Callithrix jacchus: one gene and its partner. The protein of the gene in region 1 interacts with the protein of each later gene in a biochemical or structural test. Links are inferred from orthologs where the notes say so. Each region holds a gene or a part of one and is shown in the gene's direction. Other genes may lie near its edges.

Region 1 (14,844 bases):
GGTTCTGAGTCCGAAGTCAAAGGTGGGGGTCAGCCACCTGGAATGCTGATCCCCTGCCCCTACTCCCACCCTGACCCCCACTAATGAAAGGGAGTTTCATTAGGCTCTTTCAGGCCACACTGACGTGTACCCCTCAGTACCCAGCTCCTACCCAGACAAACAAGTAAACAGGCATAGGATAGCGGAGGGAGAGAAGGCGGAGAGCCTGAAAAAGTGAAATAGTCAGGGAAACAGGTGGATGCCGGGTAGAGGCACACAGCACTCCACCCCGTCCTACTCCTCTCTTCCTGGGCCCCACCCTAATGCCTCCAGAGGATGTTACGTGGAATGTTAGAGCTAGGGAGACAGTGACAGGTTCAGGTGACCCCATTCCCCACCATATTAGAGGCATTACTGGCTTTCTCACCCCATCCCCCAGGTCAGCTTGCTGCCCCATTGCCGTCATCTATGGCTCTAGGCCTTGGTTTTCCCATCTGTAAAATGGGGAGGTGGGACTTAGTGATCTAAAAGCCAGCCCAAGGGTGGGCGTGGTGGCTCAAGCCTGTAATCCCAACACTTTGGGAGACTGAACTGGGAGGACCACTTAAGCCCAAAAGTTTGAGACCAGCCTGGGAAACATAGCAAGACGTCTTCCCTACAAAAAAAAAAAATTTTTTTTTTAATTAGCCAAGCTTGGTGGCACAAGCCTGTAGTCCCAGCTTCTCAGGAGGCTGAGGCAGGAAGATCGCTGGAGCCCAGGAGTTTGAGGCTGCAATGAGCCATGAGCATGCCACTACACTCCAGCCTGGGCAACAGAGCTGAGACTAAACAGAGGTGTCTCAGAGAAAAAGAAAGAAAAAAGGAAGTCTTCTCTTCCCTCTACCTCCTTACAATTCCTTCCAGATATTCTCAATGCGTGTATATATGTAATTTTATTTACCCAAATAGAATTATGCTCCACACAGTATTTCCTTCACTTTTTTTTTTTTTTTTTTTTTTGAGATGAAGTCTCACTCTGTGGCCCAGGCTGGAGTTCAGTGGCATGATCTCAGCTCACTGCAACCCCTGCCTCCCAGGTTCAAGCAATTCTCCTGCCTCAGCCTCCCGAGTAGCTGGGATTACAGGCATGCACCACCACGCCCAGCCCAAATTTTTGTATTTTTTAGTAGAGATGGGGTTTCACCATATTGGACAGGCTGGTCTCAAACTCCTGACTTCATGATCCACCCACCTTGGCCTTCCAAAGTGCTGGGATTACAGGCATGAGCCACCGTGCCCGGCCAGGGTGTGAACATTTTTAAATTTCTGATGGATAGAGAACTTCTGTGCAGATTTAGGGATTACTAATCTCTCATCCTGAGCTTCTCCCCTCTGTAACCTCGCTTGCTCTCCTCCCAACTTTGTCCACATTTATTTGCCAGGGGCCACCCAGAGGCTGGGCTCTATGGAACATTTTGGGTTTTCCTGGCCTCCTCTAACTAAAGGCTGGTATCCCTGGTAAAAAAATAAATAAATAAACTGACCAGAACCTGCCAGTTGTCAGCCTCAAGGTAAACAGAGCTTCTTGGCCTAGCCCTAACCACCTGAGTACTCTGGCGTTGGCCCAGCCTCATCCAGAAATTCCCAGTGGGCTCCAGCCTAGCCAGCTCCAAACCCCAAATCCAAAGCCACACTTTTAGTCCAGCCTCCTTCTGCTGGGAGAGCCTGCAAAAGAGAAGAAATGCTGCTTTTTCTAGGGGAGCTTCCAGATCCATGAAGGGGACACAGTACATCCAGGATCCTCTCTCCCCTCTCCAAAGAGCAGAAAGAAGGGAAGCACACAACACCCAGGAGAAAACAACCAAAGAATACTTATCAAAGGAACTCATCCGCATATGCAAATATACACTGAACGACTTGAGGAGGTTCAATTTAAAAGACTGTCAGAGAAGACTCCCTAGAGAGGAGAATTTTGAACTGCTTTTGGAGAAGGAATTTGTGGGACGAGCATGGAAGGAAGATCCTGGAAAGGAGCAGAGGTAGTCATTGCTGACATGTCTCGAGCACTTATTACTTGCCAGGCAATGAATGCACTAAAAAAAATTTATTTTTGTTTATTTATTTATTTTAGCTGGAGTTTCGCTCTTGTTGCCCAAGCTGGAGTACAATAGTGCAATGTCGGCTCACTGCAACCTCTGCCTCCCAGGTTCAAGCGATTCTCCTGTTTCAGCTTCCCAAGTAGCTGAGATTACAGGCACGCACCACCACATCCGGCTAAATTTTTTGTATTTTTAGTAGAAACGAGGTTTCACCATGTTAGCCAGGCTGGTCTTAAACTCCTGATCTCAGGTGATCTGCCTGCCTCGGCAACCCAAAGTACTGGGATTACAGACCTGAGCCACAGCGCCCGTCAGAAGTTCGAGACCAGCCTGGCCAACATGGTGGAACCCCCACTCTACTAACAATACAAAAAAATTAGCCTGAGGTGGTGGCACTCTCCTATAAATCCAGCTACTCTGGAGGCTGAGGCAGGGGAATCACTTGAACCCGGGAGGTGAATTTTGCAGCGAGCCGACATCGCGCCATTGCACTCCAGCCTGGGTGACAGAGTGAGACTCCATCTCAAAACAAACAAACCTTCAGTCTTAGGCATTTCCTTGTCAAATCGGAACAGCTGTTCTAAACCGCAGCGTTCTTGGAGGTGTGCAAAAGTAACCAGTCAGAGGGCATCTGGCCAGCTGGCTGCCGAAAAGGTTTCAGCCCCAGACAGCCCGAGCCCACCCTCAGCTCAATAGGCCATAACCACAAGTTATTCCTTTAAATTTGCCAGTTGCAGTCCAGAGCTGCTCTACTGGGAACCTGAATGCTGCCCTCCATTCTGCATCCTTCCATTATATGGGAACCCCAAACCACAACTATAGCACTTTTACTTCTTTAAATTATTTTTATTCTATTTTTATTTATGTATTTATCTCTCGAGACGGTTTCAGTCTGTCACTCAGGCTGGAGTGCAGTGGAGCAATCACGATTCGCTGCAGCTCGATCTCTGGGGCTCAAGCGATCCGCCCTCCTCAGCCTCCAGAACTGCGGTTAGCGGCTATTTTTTTTTTTTCTTTTTGGGTAGAGATGGGGTTTTGCTATGTTGCCCAGGCTGGTCTCCAACTCCAAGGCTCCAGTGATCCACCCACCTCGGCCTCCCAAAGTGCTGGCATTACAGGCATGAGCCACAGCGCCTTTATTTCTTTGAGAGGAGAGGGGGCGGGGTTCAGGCACACGCCAGAACCTGTTCGCTTCAACCAAGCAGCCAGGCGGCCTGTCTGTAAAGCCGGCACTGAGTTTCCTCAGGAAAACGAAACTAAGGCTCCCATTCCCCTCCCTAGCAATCTTAGAACAGAGAACAGTTTTTAGATTTCAGAAATCTTAAATAGACTGTCAGCTCCTGGAGAATAAATACGCTTTGCTTTTCACCTGGACACTTTTGCCTCAGGAAACCCCTTCCCGCTTCCAAGGCCCGGCTCGCCGAGATTTCCACCAGAGAAAACAAACAAACCCTCATTATTAGCCAGATTCCCTGTCAGTCTCTCCGCTACGACGCCGAGTGGTGCATTTTGAAATCTCTCTCTAGTCCCGCCTCCCTTACTTGATTGGTTTATTCGAACAAACACCTGACCAACTCAGCCGTTGATAGGTGGATATAAAAGACCAGCTACGATTGGTGGTTCTAGACAGAGACTGCGAGATCGAGTCAGGGATTGGCTTGTCTGCTTTGGGCGGGCTAAAGGAAGGTTCGAGTGAGCTCTCCTAACCGACGGGCAGCGGTCTGAGGAGAGGCGGCTTGGTCTGAGGTCGTTTCGTGGGTCCTGCCGGTTTAGTCGCTTTCAGGGGTCTCGAGCCCCTTCACGACCGTCATCATGGAAGTGTCACCTTTGCAGGTACGGCTCGTGGGAGGGACTGGCGGTGGTGTGCCTCAGCTCGGCCCGGGCATCTCTCTGGCCGCCCGTGACGGTTGAAGCTCTGGGGCTGCTGTCCGGCCGGCGACCCGCTTGGGAGCCCATATTCTCCACCTCCCGGTTCCGGGGTGATCGTGGAGAGGCGGAAGCCCTTTACGGTGCTAGCAGTGAAGTGTGTCGGCTAAACCGGCTTCCAGGGTGCGTTGCTTTGTTGCCTGTGTCTAGGGGCCGCATTCCGGTGTCCCGCAGTGGATCCGTGCTACAGCGCCCCGGGCGCGATGTTACTGAGTCGCGTGTACCGATGCCTTCCCCTCCTGCCCGCTGCTTGAAAACGGCCTTGAATGTCTCCGATCTTGGAAAGGGCAGAGCCTAGCACAGTGTTCCCCAGAGCAGCTGGCCGGCCTCCAAAAGCGCCCCTATCCTGAGCTCAGAACCTTCGTGTGGCCGAGGGATTGAACTGATAGCCGCCCAAGCTGCTGCTGCCGAGCTAGACTCTGCCGTGTGCTTGGGACACCGTAAATAGTTTATAATAATAGGCACTCGGTAAATAATGCGTGCAGGAGCTGAAAGAGGTGGGTGTATTTTTTCGGTGACATCTACCACATTGCTCAAGAGAAGAGGTTTTCAGACAGACCGACCCACTTGGTGAGATAACATGTGTGTTTAACCTGACACCTGGGGACTTGGCTGCAGCTAATTTAAATTGTCCTCTTTGTACTAAACTGTCAACTCCACCGCTACCTACTAATAGATTCCAACATGTGTTGACATTTCGTTCCTGGTTTTAGGCAGACTTACGATTAAAAATCCCCTTCTCTCTCTCTCTCTCTCTCTCTCTCTCTCTCTCTCTCTCTCTCTCTCTCTCTCTCTCTCTCTCTCTTTTTAATTGCTAGCCCGTAAATGAAAATATGCAAGTCAACAAAATAAAGAAAAATGAAGATGCTAAGAAAAGACTGTCTATTGAGAGAATCTATCAAAAGAAAACACAGTTGGAGCATATTTTGCTCCGCCCGGACACTTACATTGGCTCTGTGGAATTAGTGACCCAGGTAAAATCAAGCTTATCAAAGGCAATCACCGAGCAGTTGAAATGGATACTCTCCCAGCTGACCTTTCTGTACTTCTCATGTACTGAGTGTCACCGGAACTGGCCTCAGTATGGTAATAGTTAATACAGAAGACTTTACGGTAATCATGACAATAAATATAGAGTAAAAATAACAGTATTTCTTTGCCTTATTTCTAGCAAATGTGGGTTTACGATGAAGATATTGGCATTAACTATAGGGAAGTCACTTTTGTTCCTGGTTTGTACAAAATCTTTGATGAGATTCTAGGTGAGTAAATCCTTTAATATAAAGATCTGTTAGTCAAATCTTTCCTAAGAAGTATCATTTCAAATAAAAATCAAAAAAAGGCCAGGCCACGGTGGCTCATGCCTGTAATCCCAGCACTTTGGGAGGCCGAGGTGGGCAGATCACGAGGTCAGGAGTTCAAGACAAGACTGGTAAACATAGTGAAACCCAGTCTCTACTAAAAAATACAAAAATTAGCTAGGCATGGTGGCTCCGGCCTGTAATCCCAGCTACTTGGGAGGCTGAGGTAGGAGAATTGCTTGAACCGGACCTGGGAGCCAAGATTGCGCCACTGCACTCCAGCCTGGGCTACAAAGTGAGACTCCATCTCAAAAAAAAAAAAAAAATCAAAAAAAGATAAAAGTTTAAAAAAAAAAAAAAATATATATATGATTTCTACCAAGCCTGCTGTAGCCAGGGCTCCTGTCATTTCAATTAGTTAACAAAGGTGAGATGGTTTCCTGGAGCCCAGGAAGTTGAGCTTTCTCCTGGAAACAGTACTATGAACAAAAATTACTAAATTAACAGCTTATTAATGCCACTCTTGTACTGTTGGGAACTTTTTTTCTATATCTTAGAGTTATAGAATGTTTTTTAAAACACTAATTTCTTGCTAATGTGTATTTTATTTTCTTACAGTTAATGCTGCGGACAACAAACAAAGGGACCCAAAAATGTCTTGTATTAGAGTCACAGTCGATCCGTACGTCTTTTGATTAGCTTTTGTTTGTTATGTAGCTCATTGTTATTTTAGTTGCATGTATTTTGATTACTGGTGAAGTTGTCTTTTTTTAAACAGAAGTTCACAAAAGTACACACAAGCAGAATGCTAAAATGAAAAACCTATGGATACCCACCACTTAGATCCAACAGTTGTCAACATTTTTCTACATTTTGTCCATGTTTTTAATTAGTTTATTTATTTAGTTAGTTTGTTTGTTTACTTTTGTTTTACTTTTTTCTTAATTTTTTTTTTAGAGGGTCTCCCTTTGTTGCCTGGCCTCAAGCAATCCTCCAGTGTTGGCATTATGGGTGTGTGCCATGGCAGCTGGGCTATTTTCTCGGATCATTTCAAAATAAATTACAGGCATTATGACACCTAATCCCTAAATATTTGAGCAAGCATCTTCAGTAGTTGCTTTAAGTATTCTGGCATCTGGAGTTTTTTTTCTCATGATGCTATTCAAACAGTAAACCAGTAGGTGGTGGTAGATAATAATTTGATCTAACATTTCTGGGTGTCCCTTTATGAGCAATCAGGGTGCTTATTTTGCTTTTTTGTTGTTGTTGATGTTAGTCTGATTAATTATGACAAAGTATACGTGGATTTTCCTAAGAACTCAATGTCATAGTCTTTAAAAACCGTTGAGCTAGTTTTAATTAGTTTTTTATAGATAATAAGTACTTTCTGGAATAAGAACCATAATGTATATCTAGTTATAACTAAAATATATTACCATCCAAGAATTAACTTAAAATAACTGAAATAAATAAGTCCAAACAAGTTTTCAGCATTTTATTTCAGAGCAAGGCAGTTTATGATTGATACTGTTTTTCTATTTTATGTTTGTTTTGCAATGTACTTTGTCGAGTGGGAACAAGAGATGTATAGATGATCCTCTTAAAAGGGGTATAATAGGCATGGTAGCTCAGTCATAATCCCAGCACCTTGGAAGACCAAGGATCAGTCTAGCCCAGGAGTCGTTTGAGAACAGCCTGGGCAACATAGTGAGACCCTCATATCTACAAAAAATTTAAAAATTAGCCAAGTGTGGTGGTGCATGCAGCTATTTGGGAGGCTAAAATGAGAGGATTGCTTGAGCCCAGGAGATCAAGGCTGCAGTAAGCTGTGATCCTGTCATTGCACTCCAGTGAGTGACAGAGCAAGATGCTGTCTCAAAAACGGAGTAGGAGTGGTATATAATAATGTTTCCAGATTGTCCTTTTCTTTCCCTTGGGCATAAATCATTTCCTTTTGTTTATCCTAACATTTTAAAATTTTATATTTTTTCAACATTATCAGTGTCTACACAGGTGTTGGAAAAATTTTTTTTTCCTCTTGACTCCTATTTCAGGAATGTCAGGAACTAAGCATGGTGGGAAATGTAGTTCATGCTGAATTTCAGAAGGTATATATGAAAAGAGTCAAAGAAATTGAGGGTTGGGTGTGGTGGCTCACATCTATAATCCCAATGATTTGAGCAATTCTCCTGCATTAGCCTCCCTAGTAGCTGGAATTAGGTGCACATGACTGGCTAATTTTTGTGTTTTTAGTAGAGACAGAGTTATACCATGTTGGCCAGAATTTCTGGCCTCAAGTGATCCACCTTCCTCAGCCTCCCAAAGTGCTGGGATTACAGGCGTAAGCCACTACTGCGCCCAGCCTGAATATACATATTTTAGAAATAATTGTATTTAAATATTTTTAAATGTTGAGCATTCATTTAATGTGTTGTACAATACAATTTTCAATCTTGTTTTCTTAGGGAAAACAATTTAATTAGTATATGGAATAATGGAAAAGGTATTCCTGTTGTTGAACATAAAGTTGAAAAGATGTATGTCCCAGCTCTCATATTTGGACAGCTCCTAACTTCTAGTAACTATGATGATGATGAAAAAAAAGTGACAGGTAGAGTATTGAGGGGAAATAACATATTTGTTGCTAAAAATATATATATTTTAAGTAACTATCTGTGGCATGAGGGTTAAAAATATGGAAATAAATCTCTATAATTGAATACCTCTGCCAGTGATTAGGAAATAAAGCTGTCAATGAGATAATAACAATAAAATAGTGTTTCATATTTATTTGCCCAGGTGGTCGAAATGGCTATGGAGCCAAATTGTGTAACATATTCAGTACCAAATTTACTGTGGAAACAGCCTGTAGAGAATACAAGAAAATGTTCAAACAGGCAAGTAAATAGGTGTCTTTTACCTTAATGATAAATGGTAGTACTATAGCCATTTATAATGGCATTAATGGCTGGTTTAATTTAACATAATTTATAAGCATGGAAAATTATTCATAGGCATATATTAGGTTATTAGGACTCATAAATTTATGTTATTTACTAGTTGTGAGATGACTTGAATTTTTCATCTTTCCTATTCTTTACTTCCATAGACATGGATGGATAATATGGGGAGAGCTGGTGAGATGGAACTCAAGCCCTTTAGTGGAGAAGATTATACATGTATCACCTTTCAGCCTGATTTGTCTAAGTTTAAAATGAAAAGCCTAGACAAAGATATTGTTGCACTAATGGTCAGAAGAGCATATGATATTGCTGGATCCACCAAAGATGTCAAAGTCTTTCTTAATGGAAATAAACTGCCAGTGAGTATTTTCCTGGATATTAAGGATAATAAGGGACTTTGTAATCATTGTCAAGTACAAAGTTGATTTTCGCCCCCCCCATATATTTTGTATGTGTGTGTGTGTGGTGTGTGTGTGACGGAGTCTCGCAATGTTGCTTAGGCTGGAATGCAGTGGTGCAATCTCGGCTCACTTCAACCTCTGCCTCCCAGATCCAAGCGATTCTCCTGCCTTAGCCTCCCCAGTAGCTGGGATTACAGGCACCCACCACCATACCTGGCTAATTTTTGTATTTTTAGTAGAGACGGGGTTTCACCATGTTGGCCAGGCTGGTTTTGAACTCCTGACCTCAGGTGATTGAACCATCTCAGCCTCCCAAAGTGCTGGGATTACAGGCATGAGCCACTGTGCCTGGCCCATCCCGTATATATTTTTTACCACTTCTCACATATGTTTCTGAAAAGAGAATGTTACTCCACATTTTCTTTTTCTTCTTTTCGACGGAGTCTTGCTCTGTCACCCAGGCTGGAGTGCAGTGGCTCGACCTCGAATGGCTGCAACCTCCACCTCCCAGGTTTAAGCAACTCTCTTGCCTCAGCCTCTCGAGAAGCTGGAATTACACGCACCCACCACCTTGCCTGGCTAATTTTTGTATTTTTAGTAGAGATGGGGTTTCACCATGTTGGCCAGACTGGTTTCGAACTCCTGACCTCAGGTGATCTACCCTCCTCATCCTCCCAAAATGCTGGGGTTACAGGGATGAGCTACCTCACCCAGCCGGTATGCCACGTTTTTTAATCAGCTCATTTTAAATTTACTGAAGGAATTTCTTTCTCAAAGAAACACCTAAAATGCTTTCATGTCCTTTATTTATTTATTTTACCTTTTTTTTTTCTTTTCTTGATAGTCTCTTGCTCTATCACCCAGGCAGGAATACAGCGATGCAATCACAGCTCACTACAGCCTCCACCTCCCAGGCTCAAGCAATCATCCACTTCAGCTTCTGGAGTAGCTGGAAATACAGGCAGCACCACCATGCCCAGTTAATTTTTTTATTTTTTTAATAGAGATGGGGATCTCACTGTGTTGCCCAGGCTGGTCTTGAACTCCTGGGCTCAAGTGAGCCACCCACCTTGGCCTGTCTTTCTTTAATGATCATTCTCTTAAGCCTGTCAGTGAACATCATTCATTGCATTGGTTTTGAAAAGTCCTCATAGTCTGTCATTCAACCTATTTTTTAAATCTAATGCTATCTCCGGATATTTTTAATAGCTTTTTTAATACTATTATCCTTTAATTCTTATACAGGTAAAAGGATTTCGTAGTTATGTGGACATGTATTTGAAGGACAAGTTGGATGAAACTGGTAACCCACTGAAAGTAATACATGAACAAGTAAACCACAGGTGGGAAGTATGTTTAACAATGAGTGAAAAAGGCTTTCAGCAAATTAGCTTTGTCAACAGCATTGCTACTTCCAAGGTAATTTTATTCTTGAATTATTAATCATGATTTATGTTTACATATAGGTGTTCTTACTGTTTTTAATATATAAAGTGGACTTGAATATTGGGCTAGCTTGGTATAAAGGAGGCTAAATTCGTTTTATTTTTTTTTGATGTTTGATTATTAAAATTTTGAGGATACTGAGTTTTACAGTTTGGTGTTTTTCCTTATTAGGGTGGCAGACATGTTGATTATGTAGCTGATCAGATTGTGACTAAACTTGTTGATGTGGTAAAGAAGAAGAACAAGGGTGGTGTTGCAGTAAAAGCACATCAGGTATGTGCTTTTGGCAGTTTTCTTTTTCTAAAGTCAAGGGAGAAAAAAAAGGCTATGAATAAAGCATGAATACATTTTTAGTAACTTAATATCAACTTCTATTGCAGGTGAAAAATCACATGTGGATATTTGTAAATGCCTTAATTGAAAACCCAACCTTTGACTCTCAGACAAAAGAAAACATGACTTTACAACCCAAGAGCTTTGGATCAACATGCCATTTAAGTGAAAAATTTATCAAAGCTGTGAGTACTTAGAGGGAAATAAAAATAAAAGCACCTGACTTTATTTTCCATTGTGCTTCTCAACTCTGCAGAAACAAAGAGTCTTCCCACAGTGCACTTCTCTGAGTCTTCCAGTCTGAAAAGGAAGTAAACAATGGTTTTTTTAATCTGATTTTACTAAGGACTTAATTACTGTCTATATTTCAGTATTTCCCAATTACATATCACCGTTAAGCTTAGATCACTTTTGAATTAATCTAGCTGCTAAACACCCTCACTTTAAATGCCTGAGATTTGCCCTCAGTCAACACATCCAAAACTGAATTCATTAACTCCATAGTCACTGACTTGCCAGTACAGGCAGCTCCCCACCCTCCAATAAAGAAACAACTTCCTATCTTAGTAGAAAGCCCCAACCAACCTCTAGGTGTATAAACAAGAAAACTGGGAGCCTTCTCTTTATCCAGTCAATAACAATCATCTCTGAGGCTGCAGTAGCTTCTCACCATTATCTCTTTTTTGGTTTACTATAATAGGTTCTTAACCTTCCTACTGGTTAAGTCCTTTTCTTGCAATGCTTTTGAATGACCTTTTTGTGTTCAATAAAGCACACATTTCTGTCTTCACTCTTAATTTGAAATCTTTCAATGACTCACTCAGGAAAAGTCCAAATTCCATAATTTGGCCAACAAGAAAGATCTGCTTTAATCTAATTACATTTACTTCTCCAACTCATCTAAGTGCCACTTTTTCCTATATTGTCCTGTTGCTTTTTAAATTTCTGAAAAGCATAGTGCTCTTCCCCTCCCTAGAGTTTATTCACATGCTAATCCCTCTGCCTGAAATACATCCTTTTCACCTAGCTGACTACTTTAGATCTTGTCCATTCCTCAGGAAAGCCTTTACTTTTTACCCTTTTCCCAGCTAAATTGGTCCCAAAATGATATTGATCATACTTTATTGTCATGTAGCAAACTTTTTGTTACCCATAACACTTACACTGTAACTTATTTTATTTCTTTTTTTTAGGCAGAGTCTCGCTCTGTCACCCAGGCTGGAATGCAGTGGCAGTGATCTCAGCTGACTGCAACCTCCACCTCCTGGGTTCAGGTGATTCTCCTGCCTCAGCCTCCCGAGTAGCTGAGATTACAGGCACGCACCACCATGCCCAGCTAATTTTTTGTATTTTTAGTAAAGATCGAGTTTCACCATGTTGGTCAGGCTGGTCTGAAACTCCTGACCTCGTGATCTGCCCGCCTTGGCCTCCTGAAGTGCTGGGATTACAGGTGATCCACATTGCACAGCTTATTTTTATTTTTATTAAGGTTCATTTGTATTCTACGTTTCTGATAGAACCCTTCTTCCCTAATATGAATCTTCTCATTTTCAGGCAATTGGCTGTGGTATTGTAGAAAGCATACTAAACTGGGTGAAGTTTAAGGCCCAAGTCCAGTTAAACAAGAAGTGTTCAGCTGTAAAACATAACAGAATCAAGGGAATTCCCAAACTTGATGATGCCAATGATGCAGGTATGTATTTAATAATACTTCCAAACTTTAAGTCTTAACAGTTGTTATTCGTTAACAGTATTATACCATGGATATTTATTTTTCCCTTGGCAGAATAACTATATTCAACAGAATAACTTTGTTAAAAATCAACCTGTGGCCGGGCGTGGTGGCTCACACCTATAATCCCAGCATTTTGGGAGGCCGAGGCAGGTGTATCACAAGGTCAAGAGATCAAGACCATCCTGGCCAACATGGTGAAACCCTGTCTCTACTAAAATACAAAAATTAGCTGGGCATGGTGGCATGGTCCTGAAGTCCCAGCTGCTAGGGAGGCTGAGGCAGGAGAATTGCTTGAACCCGGGAGGTAGAGGTTATAGTGATTCGAGATCGAGCCACTGCACTCCACCCTGGCACCTGGCAACAAAGTGAGACTCTGTCTAAAAAAAATAACAACCTGTTTCCTATTATGGAACATTTAGGCCATTTTTAATTTTAGCTTGTTATAAATAATATTGAGGTTATTATTTTGGAGTATAAAACAAGAATGTTTACATTATGATCTATTACCTAACAAATAAATTTACTTGTTATATATTGTAAATTATTTGTGTTTTATCACAAGGCTATAAACAGTATGTTCAAATTAGTATATTTGAGGTTGAACTAAATGTGCTAATATTAACTTGTGTATTTTTATTTTAGGGGGTCGAAACTCCACTGAGTGTACGCTTATCCTGACTGAGGGAGACTCAGCAAAAACTTTGGCTGTTTCAGGCCTTGGTGTGGTTGGGAGAGACAGATATGGGGTTTTCCCTCTTAGAGGAAAAATACTCAATGTTCGAGAAGCTTCTCATAAGCAGGTAGAATATAAAACTATCTAAATCTAGTTTATAATGGAAGACTTTATGCTTATATTTTCCCTCATTGGGCTTTTGAAAGATATTTTGTGACTCAAAATAATCACACAATTTGTGATTATTTTGAGACATTGGGTACATTGTAGCCTATCTTTTTTAACACCACATGCAGGTAGTGTTTTATTCTTTGAAGACTGCTATTGCACTATGTCAATCTGAAAGATAAAGTTCAAAATAGTTTTTAAAGGATGTTAAAACATATGTAATGACTGTCCACTGTACAAAATCTTGATCTTAGAACTTATGATACATCCAGTTGGCAGTAGCACCAAGGTTTTCCAAATAGCCAGTCATCATTTTTCTCTTGTATGCATAGACTTCTTCTGATTAGCTGCCTTCTGCTTTTGTTGCATGATCTCAGAATCCCTCTGCGTTCTCTGAGAGGTAGTCAAGCTATCCTCTTTTCTTTTTCCCTTGATAATTTCCTGGGTTTTCTTCATGTTTTTGTGACGGACAAGTTCTCGTTGATTTCCACATGCCATGCCACTCACCGACGAATCCTAGAAGAGTGACTTGGAAAAGCAACGACACCCTGGCAGGCTGGGCTGCTGTCACCACTGTCGACCAGGAAGACTGAGCCTGTGTGGGCCCTCCGCCCACCGGCACCTCCGCTTTGCTCCGTCAGTGGCTTTGTAGCCTATTTTAACAGACCTTTCTGACTTAGTATATAAGCTAATAATAGCTCAAAATACTGGAGCTCAAGAAAATCCAAGCAACATATACTATTATATTTCTTTGTTCTTTTCAAATGTATAAACAAGACGTTACTTTTTTTGGTATATATGTCCATTTCAGATTATGGAAAATGCTGAGATTAACAATATAATCAAGATTGTGGGTCTTCAGTACAAGAAAAACTATGAAGATGAAGATTCATTGAAGACTCTTCGTTATGGGAAGATAATGATTATGACAGATCAGGTCAGATTTGTTATCAAATTTTTAGATTGTTCAACTAAATTAACCATGTCTTAGTTACAATTTTGTTTTTGGCCATGAAATAAATTACTAGGCCAGGCACAGTGGCTCACACCTGTAATCCCAGCACTTCAGGAAGCTGAGGCTGGCAGATCACAGGGTCAGGAGTTCAAGACCACTCTGGCCAACAACCTTGAACCCCGTGTCTACTAAAAATACAAAAATTACCCAGGCATGGTGGCACATGCCTGTAATCCCAGCTACTCAGGAAGGTGAAGCAGGAGAATCCCTTGAAACCCAGGAGGTACAGGTTGCAGTGAGCCAACATGACACCACTGCACTCCAGCCTGAGCGACAGAGCAAGACTCCATCTCAAATAAATAAATAAATAAATAACTTAAACAGGAGCTTTATTCATTATTTCTAATCAACATCTAATCAGATATGCTTATATCATACGTATGTTAAAATACAGGTTAAATGAGTCTGGATTTGAGCAGACCTTTTTTAATTCCCATAGAAAATTTGACAAATTGCCAGGAAGTCAATTATAATTTTTTTTATTTCTGAACAGTTCTTTTTTTGTTATTTGTTGTTTGAGAGGAGTTTCACTCTTGTTGCCCAGGCTGGAGTACAGTGGCTAAATCTTGCTCACTGTAATCTCCATGTCACGGGTTCAAACGATTCTCCTGCCTCAGCCTCCCAAGTAGCTGGGATTATGGGTGCCTGCCACCACGCCTGGCTAATTTTTGTATTTGTAGTAGAAACAAGGTTTCACCATGTTGGCTAGGCTGGTCTCGAACTCCTGACCTCAGATGATCTACCTGCCTCAGCCTCCCAAAGTTCTGGGATTACAAGTGTGAGCCACCAAACCTGTCGTAAACAATTCTTTTGAACTTTGGTTTCA
Region 2 (15,483 bases), on another chromosome or scaffold:
TAGATTTAGTTTCTACAATCTGTTTGGTTTATTTACTTACATGTTTTTTTAGAGGGAGTCTCATTTATTGACGGGGCTGGAGTGCACACATGATCTTGGCTCACTGCAACCTCTGCCTCCCAGGCTAAAGCAATTCTCCTGCCTCAGCCTCCCAAGTAGCTGGAATTACAGGTGCACAGCACTATGCCCAGCTAATTTTTGTTGAGAAATATTAAGTTTATGAATATTGATGAATGCTGAGTGTATGATAGAATGTATTGTTTGCTAGGAAAAACGATGGCAAGGAAAACCTAAGCGCCCCCACCAAGTGGAAAACTACTTGGGGCGTTCGAAAGGGGCAGGACAATGTATAAATATCATACACTGTTTAAAACAATTCTTCAGCCGGGCGCAGGGGCTCACGCCTGTAATCCCAGCACTTTGGGAGGCTGAGGCGGGTGGATCACAAGGTCAGGAGATCGAGACCAGCCTGGCCAACGTGGTGAAACCCCATCTCTACTGAAAATACAAAAATTAGCTGGGTGCGGTGGCACGTGCCTGTAATCCCAGCTACTTGGGAGGCTGAGGCAGAATTGCTTGAACCCGGGAGGTGGAGGTTACAGTAAGCTGAGATCCTGCCATTGCAGTCCAGCCTCCCGACAGAACAAGACTCTGTCTCAAAAAAACAAAAACAAACAAAAACCACGATTGTTTTTTTCTTTCCCTCACCTGTCCCCCAAAAGCCACAATTCTTTAAGATATCCGACCCTTCCCTCCTGGGGAATACTTTTTAGGTTGTCTGTGATCCGCGGTAAGTGGGCACCAGCTGCCTGCTTAGCGTGTTTTGTTAGGAGAAAATACTGAACACCTGTTTGTCAATGAGGCTCACCTGATCAGGGAGAATAAATGCCGGGGTCGGTGTCTACTCGGGGCTTTCTGACCCTGAAGGCTGTCAGCTCCTGAGGCTCTCCATTCGGAAGGTTGCTGGCCCTCCAATACCCCCACCTTGCTGTTCTGTCTGGGTGTTTGCCTCTCAGTTCCTTCACCGTTGCTTGGGTGGGGGTCTCTCCGGCCGAGCCGGTACTCAGTCTTTTGGATTTTTAGCGGAGACGAGGTTTCACCACTTCGCACGGTCTTCTCGAGAACTCCTGACCTCAGGTGATCCTCCTGCCTCGCCTCCCCAAGTTCTGGGATGCCAGGAGTGAGCCACGGTGCCCAGCCTACAATCTTTTAGAGCCAGGAAATGCAATCAACTGTGGCAATATATTGCTATGTATTGAAACGTATATACACAAACACATAGAACTGAGATGCTTTAACATGCAGCTAACACCAAACTCAGTTTCACAGGTATGCTTACCCAGGAAACGACTCCATTTATCTAAGTGCCAAAGGGAATAACTGTGTCTGTGTATCTGCCTCTCCCCATCTATCTCTGTGCATCTTACGTAACGGTGGAGGTGGTTTGTGAAGGTTGTCGCAAAGGATCTGATTTAAGATCTGCTAAATTCTGCCCTAAAACAGGCTTTAAATTGGTTGTGTGGGGATTTTCCAAAGCCTCCCTCTCTGCCTTCTTGGCTGTCTACCCCCTAGCAGTGCCTGAACTTGTTCTGTATTCAGCTTTTTTTTTTTTTTTAATGGAGACTCCCTCTGTCGCCCAGGCTGGAGTACAATGGCGTGATCCCAGCTCATTGCAAACTCCGCCTCCCGGGTTCAAGCGATTCTCCTGCCTCAGCATCCTGAGTAGCTGGGATTAACAAGCATGCACCACAACGCCCAGCTAATTTTTGTATTTTTGGATAGAGACGGGGTTTCACCATGTTGGCCAGGCTGGTCTCGAACTCGTGACCTCGGGTGATCTGCTCGCCTCGGCCTCCCAAAGTGCTGGGATCACAGGTGTGAGCCACGGCGCCCGGCCCTGTAATTAGCTTTTGATGGTGTTTGCCGTTCATCTCCTGGAACGTCAACTCCACGAGAACAGGGAATTTTGCCTGCTGTCAGCGCTGTGTCCAAGCATCTCTAACAGGGTATCGAACCACAGCCTTCAGCCCTCATCTAACTTGACACTTGTATTACTGTTTTTGAGACAGTCTTGCTCTGTCGCCCAGGCTGGAGTGCAATGGCACCATCACAGTTCACTGCAGCCTCCAACTCCCGGGCTCAGGCCATCCTCCTGCCTCAGCCTCCCGAGCACGTGGGACTGTAGGCGTGCACCACCATGCGCGGTTCAGGTCTTACTTTTGGCAGAGCTGCTGCTGCTCAGTCTGGTGTAGAACTCCTGTGTTCACGCGATCCTTCCGCCCGGCTCTCCAAAAGTGCTGGGGTTACAGGCATGACTCATAGTCCCCAGCCTTTTTTTATCTTTTAAACCTTCAAACAAAAGCGTAGTAATAATAATAATACCATGACATGTGAAAATACATAAGATTGGAGGCCCCCCCTCCACAAAAATAAATAAATAAATAAAATAAAAGATTGGAGGCCCGGGCAGGGAGATCATGAGGTCAAGAGATTGAGACCATCCTGGCCAACATGGTGAAACCTGTCTCTACTAAGAATACAAGAATTAGGGCCGGGCACAGTGGCTCACACCTGTGATCCCAGCACTTTGGGAGGCCGAGGCGGGCGGATCACGAAGCCAAGAGATCAAGATCACCCTGGCCAACATGCTGAAACCCCGTTTCTGTTAAAAATACAAAAAAATTAGCTGGGCATGGTCGTGGGTGCCTGTAGTCCCAGCTACTGGGAAGGCTGAAGCAGGAGAATTGCTTGTACCTGCAGGCAGAGGTTACAGTGAGCTGAGATCGTGCCAGGGCACTCCAGCCTGGGTTACAGAGTGAGACTCTGTCTCAAAAAAAAAAAAAAAAATTACCCGGGTGTAGTGGTGCACACTGGTAGTCCCAGCTACTTGGGAGGCTGAGGCAGAAGAATCACTTGAACCCAGGAGGCGGAGGTTGCAGTGAGCTGAGATAGCACCACTGCACTCCACCCTGGCGACAAAGTGAGACTCCGTCTCAAAACAACAACAAAAACAACAAAAACAAAAATAGGATTGAAAGAGCAAAACTTCATCTCAAAAAAACAAAAAACTAGAAAATACTGCCAGATTCTCTACAGAAAACGTTTGCAAATCCCTGAACCAAAACCGTGCCTTGTATACAGTAGGCGCTGGAGAACACAGAGCGATCATTACTTGCACGTCTTTTTCATGTTTTATTTTAATTGTGAGACAAGGTCTCTTCGGCCCAGGCTGGAGTGCAGTGCCACAGTCACAGCTCACTGCAGCCTCAACCTCCTGAGCAATCCTCCTGCTTCAGCCTTCTGAGTAACTGGGACTACAGGTGTGCACCACCACATCCAGCTGATTTTTTATTTTTTGCAGAGACAGGTCTCACTGTGTTGCCCAGGCTGGTCTCGAACTCCTGGGCTCACACAATCCTACCAGCTTGACCTCCCAAAGGGCTGGGATTATGAGCATGAGCCACTGTGCCTGGTCATTATTAAACCACTGTCTTCATCTGCATCCAGCTGTCTCCAAAGGCATGTTGGATGCAGATGAAGACAGTGGTTTAGGTTGGGCAGGGCAACTCAGACCTGTAATCTCAGCACTCTGGGAGGCCAATGTAGGAGGATGGCTTGAGGCCAAGAGTTCGAGACCACCCTAAGCAGCATAGTATCACCCACCCCACCCCCCAAATCTATAAACAATTTTTTTTTTTTTTAAAAGCCCAGGTGTGGTAACTCATGCCTGTAATCCCAGCATTTTGGGAGGCCAAGGCAGGTACATCACCTGAAGTCAAGAGTTCGAGACTGCCCTGGCCAACATGGCAAGACCCTGTCTCTATTAAAAATACAAAAATTAGCTGGGTGTGTTGGCACGCACCTGTGATCCCAGCTACTCAGGAGACTGAGGCAGGAGATTACAGTGAGCAGAGATCATGCCTCTGCACTCCAGCCTGGGTGACAGAGTGGGACTCTAATAAAAAAAGAAGAAAAAAGTGGCTTGGCCAGGGCCTGAGCAGGCGGTTCCCATCTGATCCTGGCTTTCATCATCAGAGAACTGGGGTCAATGGGGAAGCAGCTAACATGGAAACGCCTTGGTCTGGCAGTTTCTACAGGCAGGCTCAGCAATTTTTTTTTTTTTGAGATGGAATCTTGCTCTGTTGCTCAGGCTGGAGTACAATGGCACGATCTCAGGTCACCGCAACCTCCACCCTCCAGGTTCAAACAATTCTCCTGCCCTGACCTCCCAAATAGCTGGGATTACAGGCACCAACACGCCCTGCTAAATTTTGTATTTTTACTAGAGATGGGGTTTCACCATATTGGCCAGACTGGTCTTGAACTCCTGACCTCAGGTGATCCACCCAAAGTGCTGGGATTACAGGCCTGAGCCACCGCGTCTGGCCAGTTGTGTAAAATGTTATCACTGGGGGAAGCTGGGAGAAAGGTGCACAGAACCGTCTACTACTTTTGCAACTTCTTGTGAATCTTAAACTTCACCGAAACACACACAACTTATGATTTAAAAAACCGGGCCAGGCACTTTGGCTCACACTTGTATTCCCAGCACTTTGAGAGGCCGAGGCAAACGGATCATTTAAGGTCAGGAATTTGAGACCAGCCTGTCCAATATGGTGAAATTCCATCTCTCCTAAAAATACCAAAAATTAGCCGGGTGTGGTGGTGTGCGTCTTTAATCCCAGGTACTCAGGAGGCTGAGGCAGGAGAATTGCTTGAACCTGGGAGGCAGAGGTTGCAGTCACCAAGATCACACCACTGCACTCCAGCCTGGTGACAGAGCGAGACTCTGTCTCTTTTTTTTTTTTTTTTTTTTTTTGAGACAGAGTCATACTCTGTCGCCAGGCGCCAGTCTCGGCTCACTGCAACCTCTGCCTCCCAGATTCAAGCAATTCTCCCGCCTCAGCCTCCCGAGTAGCTGGGATTACAGGCACGCGTCCAGCTAATTTTTTGTATTTTTAGTAGAGACGGGGTTTCACCATGTTGACCAGGATGGTCTCGATCTCTTGACCTTGTGATCCGCCCACCTCGGCCTCCCAGAGTGCTGGGATTACAGGCTTGAGCCACCCCACCCGGCCAAGACTCTGTCTCAAAACAAAAACCAAACCCTATCCCCAGCAGAATCGACAGGGCCAGAATTAGGGTGAGATGAGACTCACATGTGCCATGGCAGAGCTCTATTCTGTTGTCAATGAACAATTTCAATAAATTTAAGGACCTTAATTGGCTTCACTGCAATTTGCTATACTTCATTCCATAAAATAGGGTAATTGTTCCAATCAGTTGGGCAGAGGAGGGTGGCTCTATAGACAGAGAAAGGCTGAAGAGAGTAAAAGCAAAGAATAGGTTGGACGCAGTGGCTGATGTCTATAATCCCAGCACTTAGGGAGGATCGCTTGAGCTCAGGACTTCAAGAGCAGCCTGGGCAACTTGGCAAAGCCCCGTCTCTGCAAAAAACACAAAAATTAGGCCGGGTGGAGTGGCTGTAATCCCAGCGCATTGGGAGGCCAAGGCAGGCGGATCACGAGGTCACGAGTTCAAGACTAGCTTGGCCAACATGGAGAAACCCTGTCTCTACTAAAACTACAAAATTAGCCGGGCGAAGTGGTGCATGCCTATAATCCCACCTACTTGGGAGACTCAGGCAGGAGAATCGCTTGAACTTGGGAGGCGAGGTGCGGTGAGCCGAGATCCCGCCATTTCACTCCAGCCTGGGCAACAAGAGCGAAACTCCGTCTCAAAAAAAAGAAATTCCCAAAATCAGCCAGGCATGGTGGTGTGCACCTGTAGTCCCAGCTACTCGGGAGGCTGACAGAGGAGGATCACCTGAGCCGGGCCAGTCGAGGTTGCAGTGGGCCATTGTCAGTAGCCTGGGAGACAGAGACCCTATTTCCAAACAGCAGCGGCAAGGAATGTGTTAACTCATCAGTGACCATAAGTTGCTTAGAACCTGAGTATGAGCAGCTGCCTTTCGTTTCTTCTGGTCTGTGGGTGCTCAGCGCAAGAGCTTAGTCCAAGACTACAGTCTCCTTTAATTTCGTTGCCGAGGCTGGAGTGGCATAATCACAGCTCACTGCAGCCTCGAACTCCCAGGCTCAAGAGATCCTCCCATGTCCTGAGTAGCCGGGACCACACGCATGCACCACTGAATTTAACATTTCAGGGCGCAGTGGCTCACGCCTCTAAACCCAGCACTACAGGAGGCCGAGGTGGGTGGATCACCTGAGAACAGGCGCTTGAGACCAGCCTGGCCAACATGGTGAAAACCCATCTCTACTAAAACTACAAAAATTAGTCGGGCATGGTGGTGCATGCCTGTACTCCCAACTACTCGGGAGGCTGAGGCAGGGAAACTGCTTGAACCCAGGAGGCAGAGTCCACTGCACTCCAGCCTGGCAACAGATCTTGTCACTCTGTCTCAAAAAAAAAAAAAAAAGGAGGCCATGCCACGGTGGCTCATGCCTGTAATCCCAACACTTCGGGAGGCCGAGGCAGGCGGATCACCTGAGGTCAGGGGTTCAAGACCAGCCTGGCCAACATGGCGAAACCCCGTCCGTACTAAAAATACAAAAATTAGCTAGGCGTGGTGGTGGGCACCTGTACTCCCAACTACTCGGGAGGCTGAGGCAGAAGAATTGCTTGAACCTGGGAGGTAGAGGTTGCAGTAAGCTGAGAAGACACCATTGCACTCCAGCCTGGGCGACAAGAGCTACATGGTGACAACTGTCTCTGCAAAAAAAGAAAAAAATTTATTATTTCATCCATCATGAACTTTTTTGCCTTTTTTTTTTGAGACGGAGTTTTGCTCTTGTTACCCAGGCTGGAGTGCAATGGCGCGATCTCGGCTCACCGCAACCTCCGCCTCCTGGGTTCAGGCAATTCTCCCGCCTCAGCCTCCTGAGTATCAGGGATTACAGGCACGCGCCACCATGCCCGGCTAATTTTTTGCATTTTTAGTAGAGACGGGGTTTCACCATGTTGACCAGGTTGGTCTCGATCTCTCGACCTCGTGATCCACCCGCCTCGGCCTCCCACAGTGCTGGGATTACAGGCTTGAGCCACCGCGCCCAGCCTGATTTTTTTTTTTTTTTTTAATATTAAAAGTATTGGACTCGCCAGGTGTGGTGACTCCCGCCTGTGATCCCAGCACTTTGTGAGGCCCAGGCAGGAGGATCATTTAAACCCAGACGTTCGAGATCAGCCTGGACAACATAATGAGATCCCGTCTCTACAAAAACTAAAATAAAAAATAAACTGCACTAAAATAGTTGATTACTGAAGTCTGAACTTAAATTCTACGGGCACTAGGGAGCCAAGGAGCGCTTTGGAATCTGCAGCTGGTGCGGATTCCAGGGTTTCCCAAGGGTGGGAAGCAGGATGGGAGAGGGCGCCTGCAAAGAGGTGAGAGCTGCACGAGCTCCGCGGCATTTGGGAGCCGCGGTCCCGCTTTTCTCCGCCTAGCGCCAGCCAGCAGGGTGCCGAGCCCACGCCCCATCTGCACGCCAGGACCCGGATGTGCAGCGCGCGGGGCGTCGGGGCCCGTGGAGCGTGCACCGCGGTGCGCTGCAAGGCGTCGCACTGCACGCACTGGCGGTCGTTGCGGCGGAGCAACCGTCTCCTCCCTGACGCCGCCGGGAGTCTGGATACGCACCTGGCGGAAGAAGCCGCGTCACCTGGCCGCATTGTGGTCGCTGCCACTGCCCCCCTCCCTCCTTCCTTCCTTCCCTCCCTCCTTCCCTCCTTCGAGGCGACCCACACCCGTCCCCACCTGTGCAGAGCTCGTACCCCTTTAAGGAGTCAGACGCCGCCAGGGGTGGGCGTGGTCGCCGCGAGCTAGAGAAGACGAGGGAAGGAGGGAGGGGCTGGTGTAGGGCGGACCTGATTGGCCCTAGGCCCGGGCGGCGGCCGCGCGCGCCTGCGCAGGACGCAGCAGCGCCCGCCGGCGGCGGGAGGAGCGCGCGCGGGTGCTAATTGGCCCGGGCGGCGGCCCCGCCCGCGAGTGGTGGGAGGTCACGTGACGCGACGGCTGGGGGCTCCCGGCGCGGGGGACGCTGGTGGCCAAGATGGCGGCGGAGCTGGTGGAGGCCAAAGTGAGTGAGCGGCGGCGGCGCCGGCCGGGGCAAGTGGGCGAAAGGGCGGGGGCCGGGCCGCGGGTCCAGGTCTGCGCCTTCCGTCCGGGGCCCCACAGCGCGGTCCGCCCGCGGCTCGCCGTCCCGGCCCCCAGACCCCGACCCCAGGGCTCAGGGTGAGGGCGGGGGGGCGGGGAGGCCGGGGGCGGGGCCCTCCTGCCTCACCCGGGTCTTCGCGCCAGGGGTCGCTCCCCCAGCTTCAGGCAGGGTTCCCCCACCCAGCCGGAGCCTTTAGGGTCCGGGTCCCCAAGCGCCGGGCCAGGGCCGCGCCTCCCGGTTCAGGCAGCGTGCCCCCGGGCTGCGGGATGGGTTGAGCTTCTCGTTGCCCTCTTGCTTCCGAGCCGTAGTCCCTGGTATTTGTCCGGTTTGTGTCGGGAGGAGTGTCTGCGCTTACCGGCCCGGAGGGCTCCCAGGACTGGTGTCTGGGTCTTGTCCCCGCCCAACAGGCCAGGCTGGGGTTCGCGAGTCCTCTGCTCCGAAGGGTCCCCTCAGTCCCGGATAGCGTCCTACCGCCGTCCAGGTGGAGAAATCAGGGCCCTGAGACCACCCCAAGACACAGCACGTCCTCTTGGGGGCTGGAGCCGGTCTTCAGCTGCTGCATTGGTCCCAGGACCCCGCCCCCTTCCCGACACGGTTTCTCAGACACCGGAGTGGACGCTGGGGGAACGCTGGGCTCTTTACCCTCGCCATGGGATGGAGTCCCAAACGCTTGTCTTGGTTAGAAACCTTCCTTGCTCGCCCCTTTTTAAAAACAAGTCTGACATCCTGGACCTGTGTCGTTCCCCGCGGGGCAGAATCTAAGGTTACTGGTTTTGCTTCTCGTGGTTCTAAGCCTCACCTGTGCAGCCTCAGATACTGTCTCCAGAGTTAGCCGCTTCTGTTTCCTACTCTTGAGCGAGTCTGCTGCGAAGATCAGACTCCCTTTCTCCCTGCACAGCCCCCAGCACCTGTCTGCACCCCAGCTTTGGTTTCTGAGGTTCCTTGTCTTTCTGCTTATACTCTTTATTTTGATCTTTGGAGGGTCCCCACTGGGTCCGAGGCCGGCCTCTTTAGAATAACTTCGGCTGCTTCTCTGTCACGGTCTGGGCCCTGTCCAGGTCCCATGTCCGGTAGGTGCCGTCTCCTTCTAGCTTGGAACACCTTTTAATCGTCCTGAGATGGAGCTCAGAGTATCCCCGTTCCTGGGGATGTACCTTCTTGTAGGTGGCTACCTAGAGCTGAGGATCGTCTAAAATCTTCAGAAGTGTCGTCAAGGCCACTGCTTCCAGGGAGGTTAGGGGATCTCTCCCTCCCTCACCCCACTTTAGGTCTTCCCCGCCGGGGTCCTGACCTGTACGTATTTTCTTCCCTCATCACCCGCTGGGATCTGAAAACACAGCCCTCAAGGTTCTGTGATGATAGCATCCAATCCTCTTACCCTTCCAAGCCTTCACTCCGCACGCACTTCTGCCGCTCCCTAGAGTTTTGCAGAGTGGAGACACCCTGGAGATGTGGAGGCCTGAACTCTGTAACCCCAAGGCGGCAGGCTCTGGGCTTGAAGTTCCATGGAGACCTCGCAACTTGGAGCTGTGACCCTGGACCCCACCCCCACCCTGGCTGAGGGCAGGGTCTGCACTCTTTCGTACCATCCAGGCCTTGAAATACGATCTGACGAACTTTTCCTTGACCCTTTGGTGGCTGGTACCCACCCCCGCCCCCCAGTTAAATCAAGTTTGCCCCTTCTTTCAGACTCTCTAAATTGCGAGCCTCCATTCAAGGGGGTGGGACCTTGGGGGGCCGCCTTTCTCCTTGAGTCCGTTTCTATCCCTCCAAATGCCTTAAGGGTCATCGAAACATCCCCTTTTTTACAGGGGCTTTCCCCAGCCTGTCATACTCATGGCTGCAGATTCTGCTTTTGGGGTGCATCACAGACTGCTCGGAGGGTTGAATGGTGAGGGCTTGTTAATGAACTTTGAAATCTGAGACCCTCTGCTTGGGGTCTGGAGGCGGGTTTTGGGGCAGGGGTGTCGTGAAATAGTCCACAGCGTTTAGCACAACACACATCTCTGTTCTCCTGGAGAGGGGCGCCTTCCTGAGCTTCCCCGGTGCTCCGAGGGCCCCGTGCTGGAGGAAAGGTTCAGCGCAGCTGCTGTCTCTGGGCTGCTGTCTCCCCACGAGGCTTCCCGGCAAGCCTGGAGTTGAAACTCGGAAGGGCCTGGGCCTGGCGCTGTTTATAAACACAGCTTTGAGGGCAGGTGGGTCAGGATGAAGCCAGGGCAGGAAGTGATCTCGGGGCATTGGGTGCTTCTTCCTGAATTCGTGTCCTCCTGCCCCCCTCCAGTGTCCAGGGCAGGCTCCTCCGAGGTGGCAGCTGCCGGGAAATCTGAATCGTGAACATATGGCTGCCTAAGGGGTGTGCTCCGGAAAGCAGGAGCTGCAGCTCCACTGTCCAGCCTGGGCAGGGCAGGGGCTCCTGGGGTGCCAGGACGTCAGCGGGTTCCCAAGCCCACCTGCCTTCGGCCGGGCTGCCAGTGCGAAGTGTCCACATGACATCGCCTCTCCTTGCTAAGGCCTGGGCAGCTTCCAGAAGAAACATCTTGTCCGCAAGCCCTTTTGTTTTCTGCATGAGGTAGGAAGTCAGGCCGAGAGGGATGAGGCATTTTTGTTTGCAAAGCCTCGCTGACTCAGGCCCAGCAGACCACGCAGGTCCCCGTAGCCAGTGTGCTGGTGAGCGAGGGTCCCCTGGGCCTCGGACGGGAGCACTCTTGGGGGCCCAGGGGCCGATGCCACCTCCGTGCTTGTGCTAGGGAGGCTGTGGGCCAGCTGCTTCCCTCTGTGAGCCTCGGTTTCCTCACCTCCATGATGGGTGTGGTCATTGTGAAATTGGCGACACGGGAAGGCCCTGCTGGTGCCTGGCAGGGAGCAGACACTTGTGTCCCTGATTCTTTACAGTCTCGGGGTCACGCATCCCTGATAGGGAAGAGGGTTCTCCTCAGGCTCTTTGGGCAAGACTGGGCCACCTGCACATGCGTCCCTGTCGTTTTCAGCCTGGACAGCCTCTCCGTCTCCAGCAGGACCCTGGGCCGGTACAGCTGGAAGAAATGTCAGCTGGCAGATGAGGATTCCGCCACTAGGCCGGGGCTGCTGCAGCCTTGCTGCTAAAATGTGCTGCTGGGCTCCTGGCCTCACCCTTGGGTAGCCGGGAGCCGGAAACCCCTGTGCCTCCTGGCACGGAGGCTGCGGTGCAGACTGCCCAGTGAGGCTGCCTCTAGCTTCGCCCCTCAGGGTCTTTCAAGAGTAGTTTGAGGGAGTGATTTCCTCGGGTGCCCGTCAACTTTCCTCAGCACCCTCGGCACCAGCTTTTTCCCATTCCTTCCGGAAGTTTCTCCTTCCCACGTCTCATTCATCCCAGGCCAGCTTCCGGGCCGAGGGTGTGTGGCCCCGACACCCTGCCAGCCGGCCCTCGAGGACACCTGGCTTCTGCGGCTTGTTGAGGAGCCCTCCTTCCCCTTCAGAGTCCTACCCCTCATGGAGGGGGGCCAGAGCCAGGCTACCCCCAGTCAAAACCTAGGGTCAGCTGGGCTCTGCTGTTGCTTTTGATTTCACTGCAGGGCTCCTGCCGGGAGATGAGGACCACGTCCCGCAACAGCCCCGTGGCTGCTGCCCTCCCCTCAGACTAGACCCCCAGGGGGAGTCTGGGCAACATCTGGACATGTATTTGGTTGTTATGAATTGGGAGGTGCTTAGCACCCTACAGTGCCCGGGACGGCCCCAGCGTCCACAGGGCTGAAGGGGAGAAACCCCACACGGGATGATGAGCAGATGTTTTGGAGGTCCCTGAGTTGACTTTCGGAGGTCCCTGAGTTGACGTCCGGAGGGTAGTGTGGGAGCAGGAGCCGCCCCTGGTGTCAGAGCCAGGCCTGGGCCTGAATCTTGTCACTGCTGCCCCTAAGGCGGCAGTTCCTCGTTTGTGACAGAGCTTGCACCAGCCAGCAGAGGTGTTAGAAGGGTCAGAGTTAAATATGTAATCACATGACCGGCTCGGTTCCCGGCAGGTGATTAGTGCTAAGTAAACTGGCTGCCGTCGGCGAGACCCAAGGGAAGTGTGTTTGTGGCCGACGGGGGTCGAGGCCTGCCCAGCCGTGCTTTCTGTTCTTATCGTCCCGATGAAGAGACTGAGGGTCAGAGAGGCACTTGGCATTTGCTGGCTAGGCACTGGCAGAGGGGGTTTAAAGCACGATTCCCAGTTCCTGCCCCAGGGATACTTTCAGGCCGAAGACAGGGGAAGAGAACCTAAAATAGAAGGGGGGCCTAGTCAGAGGTGCTTTTGCTGCGTTGGCGGTGCTGGGGAAAGTTTGATGAGGAGGGAGGGGCGAGGCTCTGCTGGGGGGGGGCACCGTAGGGGCAGGGCACACCACCGCCCCCGCCAAGGCTGGTGCTTCCTGGCGAGTGGGTGTTTCTCAGGCCCCCGTGTCGGGGCCTGGCCTCCACGGCACCCCCTGCCTCGGCAGCTCTGGCCTCTGAGAGTGTTTGTCTGCTTGCTTTCCCTCAGAACATGGTGATGAGTTTTCGAGTCTCCGACCTTCAGATGCTCCTGGGTTTCGTGGGCCGGAGTAAGAGCGGACTGAAGCACGAGCTTGTCACCAGAGCCCTCCAGCTGGTGCAGTTTGACTGTAGCCCAGAGCTGTTCAAGAAGATCAAGGAGCTGTACGAGACCCGCTATAAGAAGACCTCGGAGTCTGTGCCACAGCCGCACCGGCCCCTGGACCCCCTGACCATGCACTCCACCTACGACCGGGCCGGCGCCGTGCCCAGGACTCCGCTGGCGGGCCCCAATATTGACTACCCTGTGCTCTACGGGAAGTACTTAAATGGACTGGGACGGTTGCCCACCAAGACCCTCAAGCCAGAAGTCCGCCTGGTGAAGCTGCCCTTCTTTAATATGCTGGACGAGCTGCTGAAGCCCACTGAGTTAGGTGAGTGGCCGCCGCCCCGGGTAGGCTGCGCCCAGAGGTCTCGCCGAGGCCCGCCCAGCCCAGCGACGTGGCTGACCTCCAGGGAGGTCCTGTGTGGCGCAGCCAGGGCGGGGAGCCACAGTGGCAAGGGTGTTCTTCCCGGGAAGCAAAGGGACCATCTTTGATATTGTTCACCCCTTGGTGTGTTACACGTTACCCGCAGTGGAGTGGCCGGAAGCAGTGGCTGTCTGTTAGGTTCACTGTGGGACGTTGGGGCACGGGGCTCTCACAAGACTCAAGTCAGGCTGGAGCTACCTCATCTGGAGGCTCGACCGGGGCTGTAGCAGCCACATCCTTGTGCGGTGTCTGGCAGGCCTCAGCTCCTCGCTGGCTTTTGGCCACAGTCCCCAGGTCCTCACCGTGCAGCCCCCTGTGTTGTCTGCCTTGTGGCTGCCTCGCCCTGGCCAGTGAGTGTTGCCCACCAAGCTGGGAGCTGGAGCCCTTTTTATAAGCCAACCTCAGACGCCTCACCGCCTCCCGCACCGAGTCCATTGCTCACACAGATACTGTGGCGCAGGCAGGGACCACACCAGGCTGTGATTGCCGGGGCCATTTGGGAGCCTGGTTTCCCTGCTTATTCCCCATGGAAAGGGTGCTGGACAGGGGCATCAGCCTTCCCTCCTTTCCCCAGGCTGTGGCTCCTTGCCTGCAGCCTGCACGAATAGCCTTGGTCAGCGGGCTCAGGCCACTGCCAGGCTGCAGGAATGTCTGCCTCAGCCATAGCCCTGAGCTCAGGGCCAGGGAGGCCTGAGCAGCCCCAGCCCCCAGGGCAGAGAGAGTGCAGCCTCTGGGGCTCCCAGATAGTGAGCAGAACCTACGCCCTGAGGAGCTCTGGTTTACAACCGGGACCCTCCGTGCCTGGAGACCTCTCCGTTGCTTCTTCTTCCTGCCTCCCCTCCCCTGCCCCCACTCTTTCCTTCATGCAGTAAACATCAGAGTGCCTGCTGGGTGGGTGCATGACGGGCACCAGGCGTGGGCACGTGGCAGGGAACGGGACCAAGGCTGCAAGGTTCAGAAGCCCTGTACACGCCCCTCCCACCCTGCTGACCCAGCGAACTGCCTGGCCCCTGCTGTGGCCTGGGGGCCCCTCTCTGGCACTATTCAGTCCACTGGGTGCCAGCTGGCCCCCCTCACCCCTGCTTTGGGAGGTGGGGTTGATGGGGTGGGGAGAGGGGGTATTGGCTGCCTTTCCCCTCCCGCCTACAGACCTGGGACTTTGTGAGGTTAGGCTGGAGGGGCTGAGCTTCCTGGTGACAATGGAGGAGGTGGAGGAGGGAGAAAGGCACTGCCAGTGGTTCCTGGGCAGCCGGGGCTCCGCCCTCCAGCCTGAGGCTCCGCCTTCCCAGTGAGGCTCCGCCCCTACCTTTCTCCTGGCGGGAGGTATCTAGCACAGCCTCCCACAGAGCAGGTTGGCCCAGCAGCACCTGTCCTGGGGGACTCAAGGCCTTGGCCTGAGTTCCTTCAGGCTGACTTTCTGTGCCTTGCTCCCTCGTGAGGGAAGCCATTCTCCATGCTGGGTTCTGGGGCAGAGCCGGCTGTCTCTGAAGGTCAGGTCTTGAGAGGGACCCGCGTGGCAGGGAGGCTGGGCTTTCCTGGGAGCGGCAGGGCCAGCTTGGTGCAGGGTGGGGGAACGGCTTCCTTCCTGCACGGGGACCAGTCGCTCCGCCCTACAATGCTTCGCTGTGCCCTGAGCCCCCAGGGACCCCGGTCACCTGATCTCCGGGAGAGCCTGCTCCCCTGTCTACACCAGGATGACTCTGCTGGCGGCTCAGAACAAAGAGGCCAACCCCGCCCTGCCTCTCCTGCCCGCTGCTCCCACCCATCCCAGGGCCTTGAAGGGTGCTTCCCTCCGGTGAACCCTCTTCCCTGGACTCCCATGCTCTCGGAGGGGCCCCCTGGGTTCTCAGAGCATAGATTGGCCCTGAAGCAGTGGTCCGCATGGTTTGAGGACCTGAGATGCCATCCGCATGCCCACACTGACCCTGGGCTGTGTCCCTCCCCAGGTGCCCTCTCTGGTGCTGGCGTTGCTGGGGTCCACCTCAGGAGGACTCAGCTCCACTGGTTCCCCTCGCCCCAGCCTGTGGCTGTGACCCACCGTCTGCCATGAGGCCCACTGCTCTCTGGTCTTTTTCCCCGGAAGAGCCGCCGGCCGGCTCCAGGATGGAGACCGCACCAGGCAGACAGGAGCCATAAATCACGCGGCGCGGAATGCCGGGCTGGGGGAGGGGGTGACAGAGCCGCAGAGCGGGCTGCGGGGACCTCGGGCCACAAATGATCAGCTCCATCGGGGGGGTGCTTGTGTGGGGAGGGGCCGGTGCCCAGAACAGTGCGGAGAATGGCCCAAGGTCACACAGCAGCCC

The links.
Region 2: of the proteins of TOP2A (region 1) and PIAS4, one has a biochemical effect on the other in vitro, tested with the Homo sapiens proteins (2 studies listed by BioGRID). The link is inferred for Callithrix jacchus from reciprocal best matches to the Homo sapiens genes TOP2A and PIAS4.

What each region holds. Positions count from the first base shown.
Region 1 is NC_133506.1:92,847,316-92,862,159, forward strand, and holds the start of TOP2A (DNA topoisomerase 2-alpha), read left to right. Parts: upstream 1-3,741; 5' UTR 3,742-3,869; coding exon 3,870-3,890; intron 3,891-4,133; exon of another isoform or gene 4,134-4,553; intron 4,554-4,801; coding exon 4,802-4,957; intron 4,958-5,154; coding exon 5,155-5,245; intron 5,246-5,902; coding exon 5,903-5,966; intron 5,967-7,749; coding exon 7,750-7,895; intron 7,896-8,083; coding exon 8,084-8,181; intron 8,182-8,393; coding exon 8,394-8,606; intron 8,607-9,893; coding exon 9,894-10,067; intron 10,068-10,265; coding exon 10,266-10,367; intron 10,368-10,474; coding exon 10,475-10,612; intron 10,613-11,981; coding exon 11,982-12,120; intron 12,121-12,804; coding exon 12,805-12,962; intron 12,963-13,265; exon of another isoform or gene 13,266-13,624; intron 13,625-13,814; coding exon 13,815-13,940; intron 13,941-14,844. UniProt on the Homo sapiens protein: Key decatenating enzyme that alters DNA topology by binding to two double-stranded DNA molecules, generating a double-stranded break in one of the strands, passing the intact strand through the broken strand, and religating the broken strand.
Region 2 is NC_133523.1:3,755,410-3,770,892, forward strand, and holds the start of PIAS4 (E3 SUMO-protein ligase PIAS4), read left to right. Parts: upstream 1-8,038; 5' UTR 8,039-8,063; coding exon 8,064-8,090; intron 8,091-10,447; exon of another isoform or gene 10,448-10,737; intron 10,738-12,660; coding exon 12,661-13,084; intron 13,085-15,483.